2 linked regions of the Astyanax mexicanus genome follow. The protein of the gene in region 2 interacts with the protein of the main gene of each other region in a pairwise test. Links are inferred from orthologs where the notes say so. Each region holds a gene or a part of one and is shown on either strand. Other genes may lie near its edges.

Region 1 (8,856 bases), on a different chromosome or scaffold from region 2:
ATGATATATTGTGTGTGACCATCGAAAAACATCCATCATTTAGTATTACGTCACAAAATACACACTTTATTGCAGGCTTTACGTTACTTGGGTGACCACAGAATGGTGCCATGTAGCATTTTACTGCACTAAATATGCGGTGTTAGCATTAGCGATGTACTCTGTCCTAATTCTTGCACCAAACCCTAACGTCTTCTTTGAGATGTACACTTCAATGATGTTGCCATATAGGAAATAATAGGGTGGCAATAGTGTTGAGATCGAAATTGGGACACTTTACATCACATATACACCACTACTGCATCATGTTTCTGCAGGCTTGAATTAAGTTAAATTAAGTTAAAGAATTTCAGTATGAACTTCTGTCTTCAAAGAACAGTTTCTCTATCCTGATCATTTTTGTCCTGCACACTTTGAGATTTTCCTGCTCCAAATACACTTGATCAACTAATCAGATCATTAATACCTGCTTTTAGGGAAGGAGGGTGAGTTAAAGCAGATGAGTTCTGGAATATGTGCAGGTCAGGGAAATGATATAAAAGTGATTTGACTCATGATGCTGACTGTAATTTAGATGCACAATTTCAGTGTAGTTGAAAATATGAATGCAACAATGTATGAATTCTGGGCAGATGCAGATATTCGATGTTACACATGTATATATCTTCCAAAACTAATTCAGATATACACATTTATTATTAACAGTCTAAACACTCCGGTATACCTCTAGGAACAAACGTAACATTCATTTGCTTTGCATTGTAGCCTTAATCTAACTGAATGCAAACAATAAAATGAAAAATTTGCTTTCATATTTTGGGTTTCACATTTTTCTGGGTTTCAAATGTATTTAGCTAACTGGTCCTTACATAGTCTGTTCACAGCTTTAAACTTAAACTTTTTACCTTTTTAAAAACAAAAAAATACTGGGCTGAAATATCGGCCAAACCGGCTGATGCCGATTATAAAAAGAGAGGAAGTAATTATTATCCGAAATCGATTTAATTCTGATACCATTGTGCATCACTATTTTATACAAAATACAATAAAATATTTTATAAAAATACAATAAAATCTGAAAACATACTTTTTTCTGAGTGTTATATCAGTATATGTGATATATCGTGATATACAGTACCAGTCAAATTTTTGGACACACCCTCCTATTCTACGTTTTTTCTACAAGGTTTTCTGCATTGTAGATTAATATTAAATACATAAAAAGAAGGGAAAACATGTACGGAATGACATGGTAAACAGCAAAAAAGTGTTAGTCCTCCACAATCCCCTATTCTAAACCTGATCATCTGAGATGGTGATTTGAGTTGAGCTTAAGATTCAGGACCTCCAGGAACTCCTTCAAGACGCTGTGAAAACTATTCCAGGTGATTCTCCCTCATGAAGACACTGAGATTAAAGATCTGTCCTCAAAGATAAATGTGCTACTAATTCAGCATGTGTTCCTATATATCTTTACTGACAGTCTTCAAACTGTCTTAAAAAATGTACAATGTAAAAAAACATGAAAAGAAAAAATAACCACTTTTGTGTGGTAAAAGACACTTTTGAGTGGTAGTATATATCGTGTATATCAGGATATGAAATGTACTGTATTGGGATATGAATTTTTGCTCATATCGTACAGCCCTAGTGAGGAGAACCAGTGCCAGTCCAGGTTGGCAGGGCCTTGCCTGGCATCTCCTTACAGATCCTCCCCACAGTCAGACCCGGGGAATCAGCGTTTCCCCATCCCTCAGAGTCTCACCTACACTTCCACATCATCTGAGCTGATAAATAAAGCCTGTTGAGAAGATCTGAGCCGCACATCTGAAAGCCAGACTCACTAAACGCCATTTTCACACACATCTGCTGACAGACAGGCTAACGCTAAGCTAATGCTAAAGCTAAATACTGCCACTGTGGCCTAAACTAGCGATTAGCTAGCGGTGCTAACGTTAGCTTAGCATCACACACGAAGCCATAAACAGGCAGTTTCTGACAGACACGCACATAAATATCTGCTTAAACCCAGGAAAACGGGTCTAAAGATGTGTGTATATGTTTTTATACTACATTTCTCTATATTCTGTTAGCGCAGAATCTGACAGACTGCGCTAGTCAACGTTAGCATGCTGGCTAACTCCTTCCCCCACCCAGTCTGAAATAAAGCAGGCAGTAAATAACACCTAATTTCACCCAGTTTTCACTGATGTCCCACTCTGACAGCCGTGCAGTTTGTTTAAACGCGTGTTTTACTGTTAAAATGTGTAACCCACCCAAATTTAGGTTGCTTATTTTTCCTTCTACACGTCAATTTTCTAACCTACGTGTTACACCGAAATCTGTGATCTGCCGAATTCTGTCCACGTAAAGGCCGCTGTCAGAATCGGTAACCCCTTATGATTAAGCCTGTCTGCACTTTAACAGAGGAAAAACAACAATTAAAATATAACAATAAAAACATCCAATAAAATGATAAAACGATACAAATGCAATATTTATTTTTTGTTAGTTTTTATTGTTAATATAATTTAAAGTATGATAGTCTGCTTCTTGTGGATGTTATAAAAAGATTTTCCTCTCAATTCTTCACATAAAATATTTTTATTTTTTATTTAATCATCCAATCAATCAATCCATTAATAAACCTATACCTTTTTTTGCTTAATTTGCACTTCTGTCACATTCTTTAAAAGTGCTTTACGAGTGACTTACAACATTATAATAGATCTGGAATACCAAAATCTTTAGTTAATATGTTTAAACATTTTTAAAACATATATTTATTTTACTTTTGGGCTTGACTAGTACTGTACTAGTTCGTCTGTCTTCTTGTCGTTTTTGTATTATATCTAAATGCATAATTTTTTATTATCACATCCTAATCCTAATGTAATAATCTTTTATTTGTATTGATTTTTTTCAATCTTTTTTTTCAATTTTTTTTGGCTTGTACTTGTGATGCAAAATTCTTTAAACAACAATTTTTTATCATGTTGTTATTAATATAGCATATCCGACTCTTTTAAATAGCTAACTTACGTAGTCTGCGTAAGGAACTCGGATATAGCAGAACAGCACCCTCTAGGGTCACACAATTCGGCAGCTGCAGTTTTCGGTGTAACACGTTTTAAAAAAAAACAAGCAAACAGCTCAAGTAGGAGCAATAATCACCCCGTTTTCTCCACTGTGAGCCCATGTCTCACCCCGGGAGTGATCCGAGGGGTGAGTAGAGGAGTGAGTGAGGCAGTAAGGGAGTGTTAAGATCTTACCCGTGTCCCCGATGATGATGTATTTAAACAGGTACGCGTACGCCATCGCCCTCCGCTAATACAGCCCAGCAGCAGCAGCAGCAGCAGCTTTCTCCAGCAGAACACAGAGCTCTCCTCTCTCTCTCTCTTTCTCTCTCTGTGTTTCTCCTCTTTTCTCCCTCTATCCCTCTCTCTCTCTCTCTCTCTCTCTCTCTCTCTCTTTTCTCTCTCTATTCTCTCTATCTCTGCGGCTCTGTTGTTTCTCTCTGCGCGTCGCTTTTATTAAAGGAACAATAAAAACAGCCGAGCGTCCCGGAGCTCCAGCAGCTGCTGCGTCACACAGACCGCCTCCGCCACGCAACCGGAACTGCACGAGAGCGAGCAGACCAGCGAGCGCGAGCACGAGCAGTGGAGAGCGCAGGCACGAGCACGCGCACGCACATACGAACTACCTGTACCTTGTTTTTTTGTCAGATTTTTAAAGATAAACAAAGGTGTGAAAAGTATCCGTAGGTAGAAGTATAGACACTAGGGTTTAAAATACTTCTGTAGAAGTTGAAGTATTAACTCAAGCTTTTTACTATTTAAGTAAAAGTGTAAATGTACTGTTTTCAAAACTACTTAAAGTATAAAAGTAAAAGTAATATAAGAGGAAAAAATAAAGCTAGTAAGAACAAAAGCTTAGGCCGCTTCCTAGAGTCCTATAGTGCTCTAATCCCCCTCCTCCCCAAAACACATTTGTCTAAAAGCCATAATGACTTTAATGTTATAATAAAATGTTAAAGTTTATAAATTTGGGATGCACTCGGCTCCCTGTTTCAGCTGCATACAGTGGTATTAAAAAGTTTGGGCACCCCTGATTGTTTTCATGATTTTTCTTTATAAATCATTGGTTGTTCTGAACAGCAATTTCAGTTAAATATATCATATAGCAGATGAACACAGTGATATGAAGTGAAATGAAGTTATAGGATTAACAGAAAGTGTGCAATAATTATTTAAACCAAATTTAAACCAAACCCATGTCATTTTATTGATTTGAATATCTTTAGCACTAATTATTGTAACACAAAATGTGTTTGGTAAGCCCACTGACCCTTGACCTACATACACAGGTGAATCCAATTATAAGAAAGGGTTAAGGAGCCAATTGCAAGTTTTCCTCCTCTTTGCATCTTTTCTGAAGAGCAGCAACATGGGAGCCTCAAAACACACAACTCTCAAATATTGTTTAACATCATGGTGTTTAGAGTAAGGATACAAAAAGCTCAAATCTCAGAGATTTCAGCTGCAGTTTCCACTGTGAGGAACAGAGTGAGGAAATGGAAGAACCACAGACACAGTTCAAGTTAAGACCTGAAGTGACAGAACAAGAAAAATCTCAGATAAACAGAGGAGAAGATAGACAACCCACAGACCTCCAGAGCTCCAAACACCTACATCATCATCCTGCTGCAGATGGAGTCACTGTGCATCGTTCACTATTCACTATTCAGTGCACTTTACACAAGGAGAGGCTGTATGGGAGAGAAATGCAGAAGAAGCCTTTTCTGCGCCACAAACAGAGTCGCTTGAGGTAAAGATAAAGCTAAAGCACATTTAGGCAAGCCAGCTTCATTTTGGAATAAATTATGTAGAGGGCAGTTATTTATGCATGGAGGAAAAAGAACACAGCATTTCAACACAAACACTTTACTGCTCCCCACAGTAAAATCTGGTGGTGGTTCATCATGCTGTGGGGTTGTGGGACCAGTGCAGAAACTGGGAATATTGTTAAAGTTGAGGATCACATGGATTCCAGTCAATATCAGCAGATTCTTGAAAACAATGTTTAATTCAATTCAAATTTATTTATATAGCCTTTTTTTTAACAACAAAAGTTGTCACAAAGCAGCTTTACAGAGAAAACTGGTGTAAGCCTCTTATGAGCAGCACCACAGTAATGCCAATAATTGTGGTGACAGTGGCAACGAAAAACTCCCTTACATTAGGAGGAAGAAACCTTAGGAGAAACAAAGACCATGTTTTGTAGGATGAAAGCTTACCTTTAACCAGAAGCCAGAATCTGATTGGAAGCTATAGAAAGAGTAAATACTAAATATTGATGTAAATTTTCTGTTGGGATGCTCAAATTTATGCACCTGCCTAATTTAGTTTAATTAATTAATTATTGCACACTTTCTGTAAATCCTATAAACTTCATTTCACTTCTCAAATATCACTGTGTTCATCTGCTGTATGATATATTTAACTGAAATAGCTGATCCAAACAACCAATGATTTATAAAGAAAAATCATAAAAATGATCAGGGGTGCCCAGACTTTTTCATACCACTGTATATGTCCATTGAATATTAATGTATTTTAGTACAATGCAAATATATTACAGAAGCTAAGGTGGGTGATTTCGATTTTGCTGGAGTTTTTCACAATATCACCAACTTCTGTCAGACAAATAGGACAGAAAACATTCTAAAGGGGTGCCTTGAATACCAACACCTCTCTAACTGAGAGATAAGGATGATGTGGTTCATTGTTTCAAAAGCAGTGTGTGTGTGTGATTTAACCCATACTTCAGCATTGAAATTTTATTTCACAAGATTTTATATCACAGTATACTTGGTCGATACAGTACAGTTAGGCGCATACATATTTGTACAGTGAGACAATGACAATTTGTGATTTTGGCCTGCATTCCATCACACTGGATTTAAAATAAAACAAATGATATGCAAGATGCAAGTCAAATATTGAAAATGTGTTGAAAATGAATATCACATTTTTTAAATATTGTGTCACAATTATTATTGCTATAGAAATGAGCCCTGTTTAATCCTAAATAAAAAGTAATCTACCTACTGACCTCGGAACAGTACTGACGCTGTGTTTACATGGCTGAATGAAACCGATTATACATTACCAGGCTTTGTTAATGTGTTTTATGTATTGTTGTCATGTGATTAATGTATTAATAATGAATGTGTTTAATTTTACAGATTAATTGTGTGTTAACTTGTTAACCTTGACAGCACTAGTTCATAGATAGATAGATAGATAGATACTTTATTGATCCCCAAGGGGAAATTCTAGGCATCCAGCAGCAGGTATGTATAGTACACAAAGTTACAAAAAGATAAAATATAACGATACATATAAATACAATGAAATAAAAAAATTAAATGAAAAGTATAAAAGTACAGTCTTGTGTGTGTGTGTGTGTGTGTAATGGAGGTAGTGCAGTTGAACACAATATACAGTGAACACCAGCTGATGTGCATAAAGTGAGGATAACTGATGTCAGCCATACAGAAAGTGCAAATACACAGTTATATAATAATTAAAATTTAGCAGTGCGACAGATACGTAAACAGTAGATGAATGAACTTGTGAATGAACTACTAGTGCAAAATAGTGTTATAGGTATCAGCAAGACTGAGAGTGTGTCCATAGATGGGGGTGTGTAGACACTCATCATAATGAATGTGAAGTGTTCTGAGAGTAAATGTGTGTTATTAATAGTGATCAGGTTTTTAATGCATGTTTTTATTAATATGTATAAAATCACTCCTTTAAAAGCTGTGCTGTGTTTTATATTGTCCACTAGAGGCCAGCGCTGCACCTTCAGACAGATCCTATTCCTTTCACTTCTTTCACCTTTAAATATATACAAAAGTGTAATTACATGTACTTATGTTATATACACACTTATTATATGTTGTACCAGTGAGACCAAGTTGCTTCACCAGCATGGGCATATATATGAATCATTTCTACATTTTTGCAAATTTGTTATTCTTACTTTTTATTTTTAATTTAGACAGTTATGTTTATTTTATATTATATTTATTTAAATATATTTATACACTTATATGTCTTCATATACACTTATAATGCTTTATATATGAAGGCTTTAAAGAGAACTGATTTGATGATTTGATTATTGATATGGGATTATTAATTGGAAGTACTCTCTCTGTTTCTCTCTCTCTCTCTCTCTCTCTCTCTCTCTATATATATATATATATATATATGTGTGTATTATATTTATATTTGTCATATATATATATACCACAAATTTACATTGTAAATTTAATATTGACGTCTATATTAAAGCTCTACAGGAACACATGCAGCATTTTTCTGTAAAAAGTGTTAAACAAATCAGAATATGTTCTTACAAGTAGCACATTTATATTTAAGGACAGATCTGCACACTCTTGGTGTGATTTTAATCTCAGTGTATTCATGAGGGAGAGTCACCTGAAATATTTTTCTCAGCGTCTTGAAAGAAGGAGTTTCTGGAGGTGCTGAACAATAGCTGCTGCTTTTTCTTCACGCTGTGAAGCTCCAGCTCATCCCACTTAAATCACCTCAAATTATCATCTCAGTTCATCAGCTTTAGATCAGGGGATTCATGTGGAGGATAAACGCTTATTTTACTGTTTACCACATAAATCCATATGTGTCCCTTAAATGTTTCCATGTCTTTTTAATTAATCTACAATTTAGAAAATGAGTAAAGGAAAACATTAAATGTAAACTGGTTCTCAACTTTTATATAGCACTATAGATACAGGTATACACATGCGCAAAAGCCATATATTATTTCTGATATTTGAAAGGAGTGCACATTAAGATGTTAGATATGTGGTTGTGATTAGTATGAGTTATCTGAGTGTGATCTCGTGCTGTAGTAAAACTATAACCTTTAGGGAGGAAAACGACCCAATTAACAGCTCATTAGAGAAAGAGGGAAATTACACAATTATGAGTTTTTAATTTTAGTAAATGTGGGTCAGAGGGATTACAGAACACATTGAGCTCAACTGCCCTTTACAATTTCACCTGGGACAATGGGACAACACACACACACACACACACACACACACACACACAAATTCTATTATAATAGCAACTTTCCATCATAGGATCCTGTTATTAACTAAAAGGTCTCTCTGAGATAAAATACATTTTGTCAGTAAATTAAATGCCAATATTAGCAGTATTATCTTGTTAGTGTGTGTGTGCTCATGTGGCAGATCACTGTAACACATGTACAATCAATATTTTAATGCATTTTTACTGAGCTACAAACGCAGTTTAATTAAACAGTAAATTACCTTAACAGTCATTACAGTATTTGACTTTAGATTGTGAAGTTTTTCTTCAATACAAATAATCATGTGAGAATTAGAAATAGAGAAATAGAGGTCCTCTCCCTCTATTCAGTCTCTTTTTATACTGTATAAGGCCTTTCTCTTCATCTCTCTCTCTCTCCCTGTCTCTCTCTCTCTCTCTCTCTCTCTCTCTCTCTCTCTCTCTCTCTCTCAAAAAACAATGTATCTTCTTTTTCTCTTTAAAAAAGTGTGTATCTCTTTCCTCTCTCTCTCTTAGAAGTGTGTATCTCTTTTCTCTAACTCTAAAACTATGTATCTCTCTTCTCTCTCTCCATGCACTGGCAAATAAAAACTTTAAACACTGAAAGTACAAATGTTTATTGTAAAGAATAATTTCAGTATGTTAATGTATTTTATGCCAAAACTTACAATAGAAAAATTGTAATCCTCTGTAATTCACTGACAGTAAATTACTATTGTAGATATCA
Region 2 (9,425 bases):
GTTAGCAGCTAATGAACAATTAGTAGATACTAAATAATTAGTAGTAACTGAAATTACTACGTATTGAACTATTAGAAGATACTGAATAATTACTACTAACTGAATAGCTAATAGATACTGAATAATTACTACTTATTGAATCCTTACTAAATACTATATATTTAATACCTACTGAATAGTTCATATAGACTGAATAATAATTTTTGGTAGATACTAAAGCGTTAGAACTTACCAAACAATTAGTCGCTAATGTATAATTAGTAGATACTAAATAATTTGTACTTGGTTAGGAGCTACTGAATAATCAGTACTTATTGAAACATTATAATATATTGAATAGTTATGTATGTAAACTATTCAAATCAATATGTATGTAAATTAAGGAATTAAGGAGTTACTAGATAATAAGTAATTATCAGTGAGCTAGTAGTAGTGAAAAATGAGTATATACTGAAAGAGTGTGGATGGTTTAGAGGAAAATGGGATTTTATCACTAGGCGGTTCTCCAAGACAGATGGAGCCACTGTGTGTGTTACTATAGTAACAGATCTATGACCACAGGGTTGCTATGGGGTGACTCACCTACTGTAGATGTGGCGCTGGTCAGTAAAGATTTGCCCCAGGAGCTCCATCCACCCCAACCTTTAGACTGCGAGTCTGAGGTCTGGCAACAAAAACACACACACACACACAATCCATTACAGTGATGCTTTTAGAATCTTTCCCTCAAATATAACCACTTAGCCAAAACACATCTATAATCGTAAATATACTTTAGCAGCTCCATTCTAAACATACATTTACCTAAGTACAGCTATTCTAATCAGACACTTACCTCTATTCTATTTATAAATGTACCTCATTAGTGCTATGAACGTCAATGTAATTAAAATGTACAAAGAGAAAGTAAGTTGTAAGTTATCTAGCTTATCTATTTATCATTCTAGACCTGTACAGCTCGCATCTTTCAGCTGAAAAACAGCCAGCTTGTAAAGTGAAGAGTTGAAAAGAACAGAGTTGATGGATATTAAGCGTGATAAGTGACGCTGAATGCTTGATTTAAGTTGAGAATAAAAAATAATAATAATTTGCTGTTTCTCTGCTATCTTTGGCGGCTCTCTCCCTGCGAGCTGAGCAGCTATAAAAACAGATCTGATATGCAGTGCTACTATTGTTAAATGAAACATTGAATTATGGCTGTAAAGAAAAAAATATGTTTTTAGGTAAAAATTATTATTATAATTTTTTTTTTACAGAACACAGAAAAACTATTTTTTAATTTTCAGACAAAGGTTGCTAAAGATTTGGTGCATCCCTGTAGAGCTATTAAATTTATTAGAAACTACTCAACTACACAGCTAATTTGTGTACATCAGCTTCCATTATCTGTTAGCTATATTAGCCTTGTAGCTTCGGTATAGAACTAAAGAAGCAAAATTCAAATATTAGGTGTGTCTAAGCTTACTTATTAAGTTATAATTCCCTAAAAGAATTAAATCTTCAAACTAATCTATATCTCATCTCATCTAACACATCTATATTTACAGTTCCGATACATCAGCTCACAGATGCCTTGTGTTGATCAACATCACCCTAGAAGTGATGTGGGAAAAGAGCATAATCTATCCACCCAGAGAGAAAAAGGCCAATTGTGCTCTCGGGGCTCCGGCAGCCAATGGCAAGCTGCATGACCGGGATTCGAGCCAGCGATCTCTCTATCATAGTGGCAGCGCTTTAGTTTGCTGGACCACCTGGTGCCCTAACCTTGTGTTTTGTGGCATCTACGGGATCACTCAAATAACCATTAAAAGCTCCTTCATTTCTAAAAGTGGACCCAAAACAATTGTACCTCTTCCTCAGCTTCAGCAGGAACATCTGGCTCCAAGCTCACTGATTCGCCACATTCCATCATGTGATCCCCGGTGCTTTCTGCTGACTGGCCCTGTGTAGGATCTTCAGGCTGAGTGGCTAAATCATGCTTCTCCACATCTTCACCGGTTGCTTCTGGCTCTGGTGCGGCCAGTGACAGCGGGGGAGCAGATGGTGGCTCATCTGTATTAGTTTCAGGTGCAGATTTGGGGGTCTGTTTATCTGAAGACGTCTCGAAGAGAGGAGGGTCGGGATGTGTGGACGTGTCTCCCACTTCTGCCGCTACGTCCTCTTGTGACATGGTGTTCTGAAAGTAAGGGAAGGATGTAAATACAAAAATATTTACAGTATGGCGTCACACCAATGTCAAAAGTCGTCAAATGTCAAAAATGAACTGTGTGTAAATGAACTTCTCGTGAGCACAAATGTGAAACTAGCAAGCAAAAAAAAAAGAAAATCATGTGCACGCTGAAGAAAATGTTGCTCTCTTTTTTATGGTAAGATTCATTTGTTCAATTATTTTTGAGCCCCTGAAATAAAGAGACTGTATAGAAAAAGGGATGTAATTCGTAAACACTTTATACACAGCAAAATTTAGCGTTACATTAACTATTTAAGTGTTACATTTAACACTGTCCTAGATCACATATGGTCGCACTTACTATAGTGTTAAAATAACTCTACCACAAGAGTTACAATTTAATTTAGTTAATTCAACATTGGATAGAGTCAGATATTGACTCTATGTAATTCTCATCAGTGTTAACGCATTTTACCTCACAGGGGTTAATTTATTTATTTTTAATTTGTTTTTGTATATTTTCTGAACTTCACCCAAAAGCATATACCAGAGTATCTATAAAACATTATAAAATGTGAGCTATACCACAGAATAAATATTTTTTATATATATACACACATAAACCCTATGTCCAATATCAAGTAGTTATTTTAATTACATGGCCAATAGATTGAATTTTAGATTATGGATGTGACTAAGCTTTATAGAACAGTCTGACTAACTGGCTGGATCAAAGGTTCTTTTAAGCAATACAATCACAGCCTTGTGTGTGTGTGTGTGTGTGTGTGTGTGTGTGTGTTGACACACAGCTTTGTTGTCCATTACACCACCCACTCTTCTGCTTCAATAGCTTCTATTCAACTTGGCTTACAGCGCCATCTAGAGGCTGGTCAATGAAACCACACCCCATCTCCACCATCTCAACTAAACTCAACCAAAGCCTAAGCTTTTCTGAAAATTAAAATGCATAGTAAATGAGAGCATTTAAAACAAGATACACCGGTAATAAAAACGAAATCTAAACAACAGAACCGGATTATACAGATGCTGACAGAGACAATTAGCTACAAAGCATCAATATAAAGTTTTTAACAACATAAAATATTAAACTTCACCTAAATGTTCACTATTCTAAAACGACTCGGACCAGTCCTGCTGTTTTCCTGCAGATCAGCTACTCTGGAGCTTATCATCATTATCACCATCCTCCTTATAATGAAGCTAAACTTCATATTAATAATAATAATAAGAGTGAGCTGAGCTCTGCAGACAGTGGGACAGCCCAGCTCAGCAGGACTGACTCCAGCAGCAGCAGCAGGAGGATGTAACGCAGCATGTACTCTTCTTTAACCCGCCGCTGTGCAGTAAACAGGGTTAAAAGCAGGTAAAGGAATAAATCAGGATTAATCAGTTCTGTGTTTAAAGCGCTGCTGATCTTACCGGTGTCGCTCTCGCAGCGCTGTTGCTCTTTCCGCCCAGGCGCGAGCCACGTCGGCAGCGGACCACGTGCCGCGAACGAACCGTGACGTCACCCAAAACTTTTGGAACATAATCATAATAATAGAAGACAGCTTGAACATATACATTAGTAAAAAAAAAATAACGACAAAATATTAACAAGAGGCAAAAGTAATTTCGTCATAATTTTTTACAGTTTCTAAACATATATTATTTTTAGTTGTTCTGAATATTCATCAGTCAATTAGAAAAGAAATATAAAATTTTGGCATTAAAGTCAAATATTTACACTTGTGAATAAAGTATGTGTCAATTGGAAATATTTTTTTTTGGGGGGAAAAAATAAAAATAAAAAAATTATTCAACACAAAGAAGCTGCTAAAACAATAAATGCACTTTAATTAATTAAAATTAATTATTATGGCGCCGAGTGGTCCAGCGGTCTAAAGCGCTGCCACTATGAGCAGGAGGTCGCCGGTTCGAACCCCAGCTCATGCAGCTTTGCCATCAAGCTGCCGGCGTCAGAGGGAGCAAAATTGGCCCTGCTCCCTCTGGGTGGGTAGATGGCGCTCTCTCCCCACATCACTCCTACGGGGATGTCTGCAGCACAGGGCGTCTGTGAGCTGATGTACTGGAGCCGAGCCGCTGCGCTTTCCTCCAAGCGCGCTGGCTGCTCGGTAATGCTGCATCAGCAGCAGCTCGAAAAGAAGCGGTGGCTGACTTCACATGTATCGGAGGAAGCATGTGCTAGTCTTCACCCTCCTGGTGTGTTGAGGTATCACTAGTGATAGGGGGAGTCCTAATGAATGGGTTGGGTAATTGGCCGTGTAAATTGGGGAGAAAATGGGAAAAAATTAGAAATAAAATTATATATAAAATTAATTATTATTTTTTTATCTTTCTCTTACAATGCTGTTTTTGTACATCACAATATGAATGATATTGTCTATTTTAAATAAATAAATAAATGGTAGTTAAAATTGCACCATATTAAATATTTTTTTATTGTTGAAATTCAATGCGATATTAATTTCATTGAAAACGATATGCATTTGCCTACTTTATAAAAAATAAATAAATAAATAAATAAATAAGGTTTCATTTTGCCATTTAAGACTGTTGATTTTATTTAGATTTAAATATTCATTATTAAAAACTTAAGAAGAAGAAAAGGTGCACGTAATTGTGATTAATCGATTCATTTTTTAATCGACTGACAGCACTAGTAAAAAAAAAAAAACCTTTACAGGCATATAAGCCTGCAGTTCCAGTCTGTAATGGTAATTAAACGCATTTAAACAGCTATTTTTTAATTGTGGTTGTTTTTTTCTAAATGCTGATTGGTTGAGCTGAGTGGGTGGTGTATTTAAAGTGTATCTTAATATATCAGTTGTGTATATGATCCATTTATCATAGAAGTATCCTGTGCGTTAGTTCAGCTCCAGTATTGTGGTGTTACTGCAGCTCAACGCTGTCCGTCCGGCTCGTTGGTCTAGGGGTATGATTCTCGCTTAGGGTGCGAGAGGTCTCGGGTTCAAATCCCGGACGAGCCCTGCATTTTTTTATATGTTTAAGTTAGAATGAATCATGTTATTTTATTAAACAGCCAGCGGAACAAACTGAAGCTGATAGTGTTTATAGTGTTTTTGAGACACAGGACGACGTGCATTTCCGATATTTATCTTTATAAATAACAATAAGGAAGGTCTAACCATATTTAAATTCAGAAATCCTTTATGTGTGTACAGAGCTTTAAAGTCCAATAATCCAGTCAAGTGTCTTTTTTGAAAACAGAAGACACACAATGTTTATTGATAACAGGGTTACAACTAATTATTTAGGAAATAAAACAAATTTAGTAATTTCTTTTAATGACTGCCTTTTTATTATTCAAGATGTATTGTGTCACACATTAGCCTGTGTCTGTCCTGTGTTTTTCCCTCTTTTGGTTTTCTGTGCTCCTGCCCTGTTTTCCTGTCTTGTGTTCCCAGTCATGTGCTTTTGAGCATATGGCATTGTTTTGTTATGGTCCAGTCTCCACCCTAGCCCCGCCCTAGCCCTGCCCTAGTCATTAGTGTTAACACCTTGGCTGTGACCGAAATGGCTCCCTATTTACTAGTTAGGGCACTATTGAGTATGTCAGCCATTTTTCTTTGAGTGTCCGAATCTTAAGGGGGGGGGGGGTTCGAACGTGATTTTGAGGGCACTAAAAACTCCTATAATGCATCATGATTTATAGTAAACTTCGCTGCTTAATGCATTGCGGTTCTCGCTACTAAGCAACAGACAGCCGAAGAAACGGAGCGGACAGCGAGCCACCAGGGTTGCAGATAAAACCAGATAAAACCAATTCACTGGGTAAAACGTGTTTCAGATCCACACATTTACTGAGAAAACACCCAAACAGCTGATATTCGTCATATTAACAATATTACAGGGTTTATTCCAACATGATCTTAACTAAAATATCATAAATATCTTAAATATCACTGATTACAAAAAATGATATTTAAATGAGTATATCTGCATATTTGTATTGTGTTTTGTTCCTTGTATCATTGGACACACGAAACAAAAACGTAAAAACAGTATATAAAAACAACCTCGCAAGCAATGAAAGAAAAAAAATAACTTACTCACATTTAATCACAAACATAAACACAACTTCAAATTTCCATCAGCAGGACTCTTGCGGGTTAGATATCTAACTACAACACCGCCGAGTTAAATTTCCAAACTCTTTACACTTGGTAGTTTTGTTCACCTGTCAAATCACAGCGTTTCCTCCTGACAATTTCTGACACAACTCGACATTTGGCATGAAACCACCCAATCTGGCAACAGTGCGAGCCGGTGTACGCTGCTATTTTTAAGAGTTTCTTCATGTAGTTCAGTAATGTCAGGATCATCTTTTAAACAGCGTAAATATAACAAGCAGATAAATAACTTCATGATCAGCTCAGAGCTTCACTAACTTTAATTTAGAGCTCAGTTCAGTGAGTCACCTGTGTGTGTTTATGCGACCGGTGCTGGCGCATGATAATGATGAGTTAATGTCCGAATTCACTCCTGTTTTACCACTAATTAGTGAACTTATTAGTATCTCCCTACATAGCGCAACACTAATGAGGGAGTAGGGAGCCATTTCGGTGTCTCATTTGTAACTCCGCCCCCTCATTACCTCCACAGGTGTCCCTAGTGTGTGCCTGTGTATAAATACCCCATGCTCCTTTGTTCTTTGTCCTGCTATTTGTTTGATGCCGTCCTGTTCAACTGTGTCTGGATGTTAATCTGTGTTTTTGTCTACAGAGTTCAGTTTTGGTTTCTTAATAGTGTTTGTTTCTTTGATAGTTTATTTGTTTGTTTTGACCTGGTTTAGTAATTTGTTTTATAGTCTTTGTTTTATAGTCTTAGCGTTTATTTTTTTTTTATCCTAGTTATTTGTTTATCTTATTATGTCAAATAAAACCAACTTGAATTTGCATCCGGCCTCGTCCTCCGTGTTACATATTGAAAACAATTCAATTACCCCTGTTCAGTTAAACGAAAAATTACATAGGCATGAATAAATAAATCCACATATAAATTAATTTAAAAAAAAATTATTTTATTTCTGTATTTCTGCATTTGTATGTTAATAAGGTAGGCGGTCCTAAAGCAGGATAGGGCAACTCGTGAATCAGAAAGGAGTAACCGGTTTCTAACTACTCTAACGTATATTAATATATGTTAATAATATATATAATTTAGGTCTGAATTTTCTTCTTTTATAAATAATAATAATAATAATAATAATAATAATAATAATAATAATAATAATAAAAACATTCTTGTTTGCAGTTTTTAAATCAACAAAGCAACAGTTTTACAAAGAATTTAGAGAGAAAATTTTTAAATAAAGAATAAAATAAAGAATGACACAAAGATTATCACCATATTATTATAATGTGCATTATTTAGTAAAAGAGAGATCCAGGGCGTCTATCTGCTCAAGCAGCTCAAAAACAGCAACTGCAAGAACTGCCTTTAAAGCCTGAAGAGCATTGTGATTCTGGCAACACTTGGCAGAAGTCCAAAACGATTTCCTGTAAAAATAAAAGTCCCCCTAAAATGTAACAGAAATCAGTTTTGAGGCTGTAAATTAAATAATATGAACTAGTTTAATAATATTTACAGTTTAAAACTAATTAAAACCTTTTCAAAACTTTTAAACACGTTTAAATAACGTAGATATTAAAAGAAAAATAAGAAATTGTACTAAAGCTAGTGTTGCTAGGTAATACAGTTTTGCGCTGGCAATTTGATTATTTATTTGTCCTGTGGTGAAGGCGCAGACGCAAATCGAACAAAAAAAAATGCAGACTGCGCAGGGCCTCATGAAGTCCAACAAGCCTGAAAAACGAATAGAGCAAACAACCGGCAATCATACTGCTCAGGGCTGAGTTGAAGCATAAACTGTAGCTTCTTGGTGAGTCACATTAAAAATGGCATAGTTGTTTGTTAGAATTGTTCAGTGATTATTGTACATATGCATACAGTTTAGAACATTACATTAATTATTATTATATATTTTTTGAGAAATATTATTTAAAGAGTGCTGTAAAAAGAGCTTCACTGCTGAGCCCTTCACCATGATCACACTTAATAATGGTGAAAACTGACTCAGCAGAGCCCCCTGCCGGTGAAGCGGCGTCTCTATCAGAAGCTCAGCCTCGCGCTGGTGTGCTCGTGAGAGGGGCGGCGCTGTCAGCCAAGAACGAAAGAGAATGTATCTGTAGGTACGCGTGAGCGCGAGGTGAGTAAAAACACTTTTAAACAGCCTTTCTGTAGCGTTTTACTAAGTGAATAAAGGCAGATTATGTCTCTGTCTCTCCATTAGATACTAGTTCAATTGGGAAAATATCAAATAAATAACAAATAATCCACAGATTTGTTTCAAAATATTCTTTGTTGTTATTGTGAACTCTACCCAGTTCCTGGTTGGAAGGAACAAAATGGCACAACAGTAAAATGGCTGTTCTCCTGTGTGGACTGTGCTGTGTTTATACAGAGTTAAAATGTTCTATATTATACATTTACTGATAAACACAGACAAAGGTGTCAGAAGTATTTAATTTTTTTACTCTGTAGGTAGAAATATAGATACTAGTGTTAAAAATACGTCTGTATAAGTTGAAGTATCAACTCAAGCTTCTTACTCTTTAAGTAAAAGTGTAAAAGTACTTTAAAACTTAAAACTTGTAAAACTACTTATAGTATAAATATAAAAGTAATATAAAGGGAAAATTCCATTAAGGGATTAAGCTTAGGCCGTGCCACAGAGTCCTATAGTGCACTACCCACCCATCCCCAAAACACTTTTTTCTAAAAGCCATAATGGTTGGACTTATTTACAAAAGTTTGGTTTCTTGGATACAGATTTTGTTTTGTGATAAAAATGTTGCATACATCACTCTCACTGGACACTCTTTTGTCTGCTTCTCTTTTCTGTAACTAAACTTTGACATGTTTCTTTTTTTATGTTGCTTTCTACACAGGACTGGGCTAATACAATTGTGGACTAATTTGAGAATAAAATGAAGAGCAGGTAAAATATTTAGTTATGTGTGTGTGTGTGTGTGTGTGTGTGTGTGTCTGTATGTGTGTGGAGGGCTTCAGACCAAAAGAAAATAATCCGGCGCCAAACAATAATATGCAAACAATTAAGCATTGCAACACTCAGCTCAGGTAATCGTAGTTTTTAAAGATCTCTGCCTTCCAGCATGTCTGATTGATGGCTTTCTCTTTCTTGTGTCCA

The links.
Region 1: the proteins of fam114a1 (region 2) and rab2a interact in binary tests that used the Homo sapiens proteins (3 or more experiments, as listed by UniProt). The two-hybrid records come from large-scale screens. The link is inferred for Astyanax mexicanus from reciprocal best matches to the Homo sapiens genes FAM114A1 and RAB2A.

Annotation. Positions count from the first base shown.
Region 1 is NC_064425.1:41,315,770-41,324,625, reverse strand, and holds the start of rab2a (ras-related protein Rab-2A), read right to left. Parts: upstream 3,621-8,856; 5' UTR 3,319-3,620; coding exon 3,273-3,318; intron 1-3,272.
Region 2 is NC_064432.1:6,772,561-6,781,985, forward strand, and holds the start of fam114a1 (protein NOXP20), read right to left. Parts: upstream 3,706-9,425; 5' UTR 3,611-3,705; intron 2,177-3,610; 5' UTR 2,171-2,176; coding exon 1,850-2,170; intron 665-1,849; coding exon 583-664; intron 1-582. UniProt on the Homo sapiens protein: May play a role in neuronal cell development.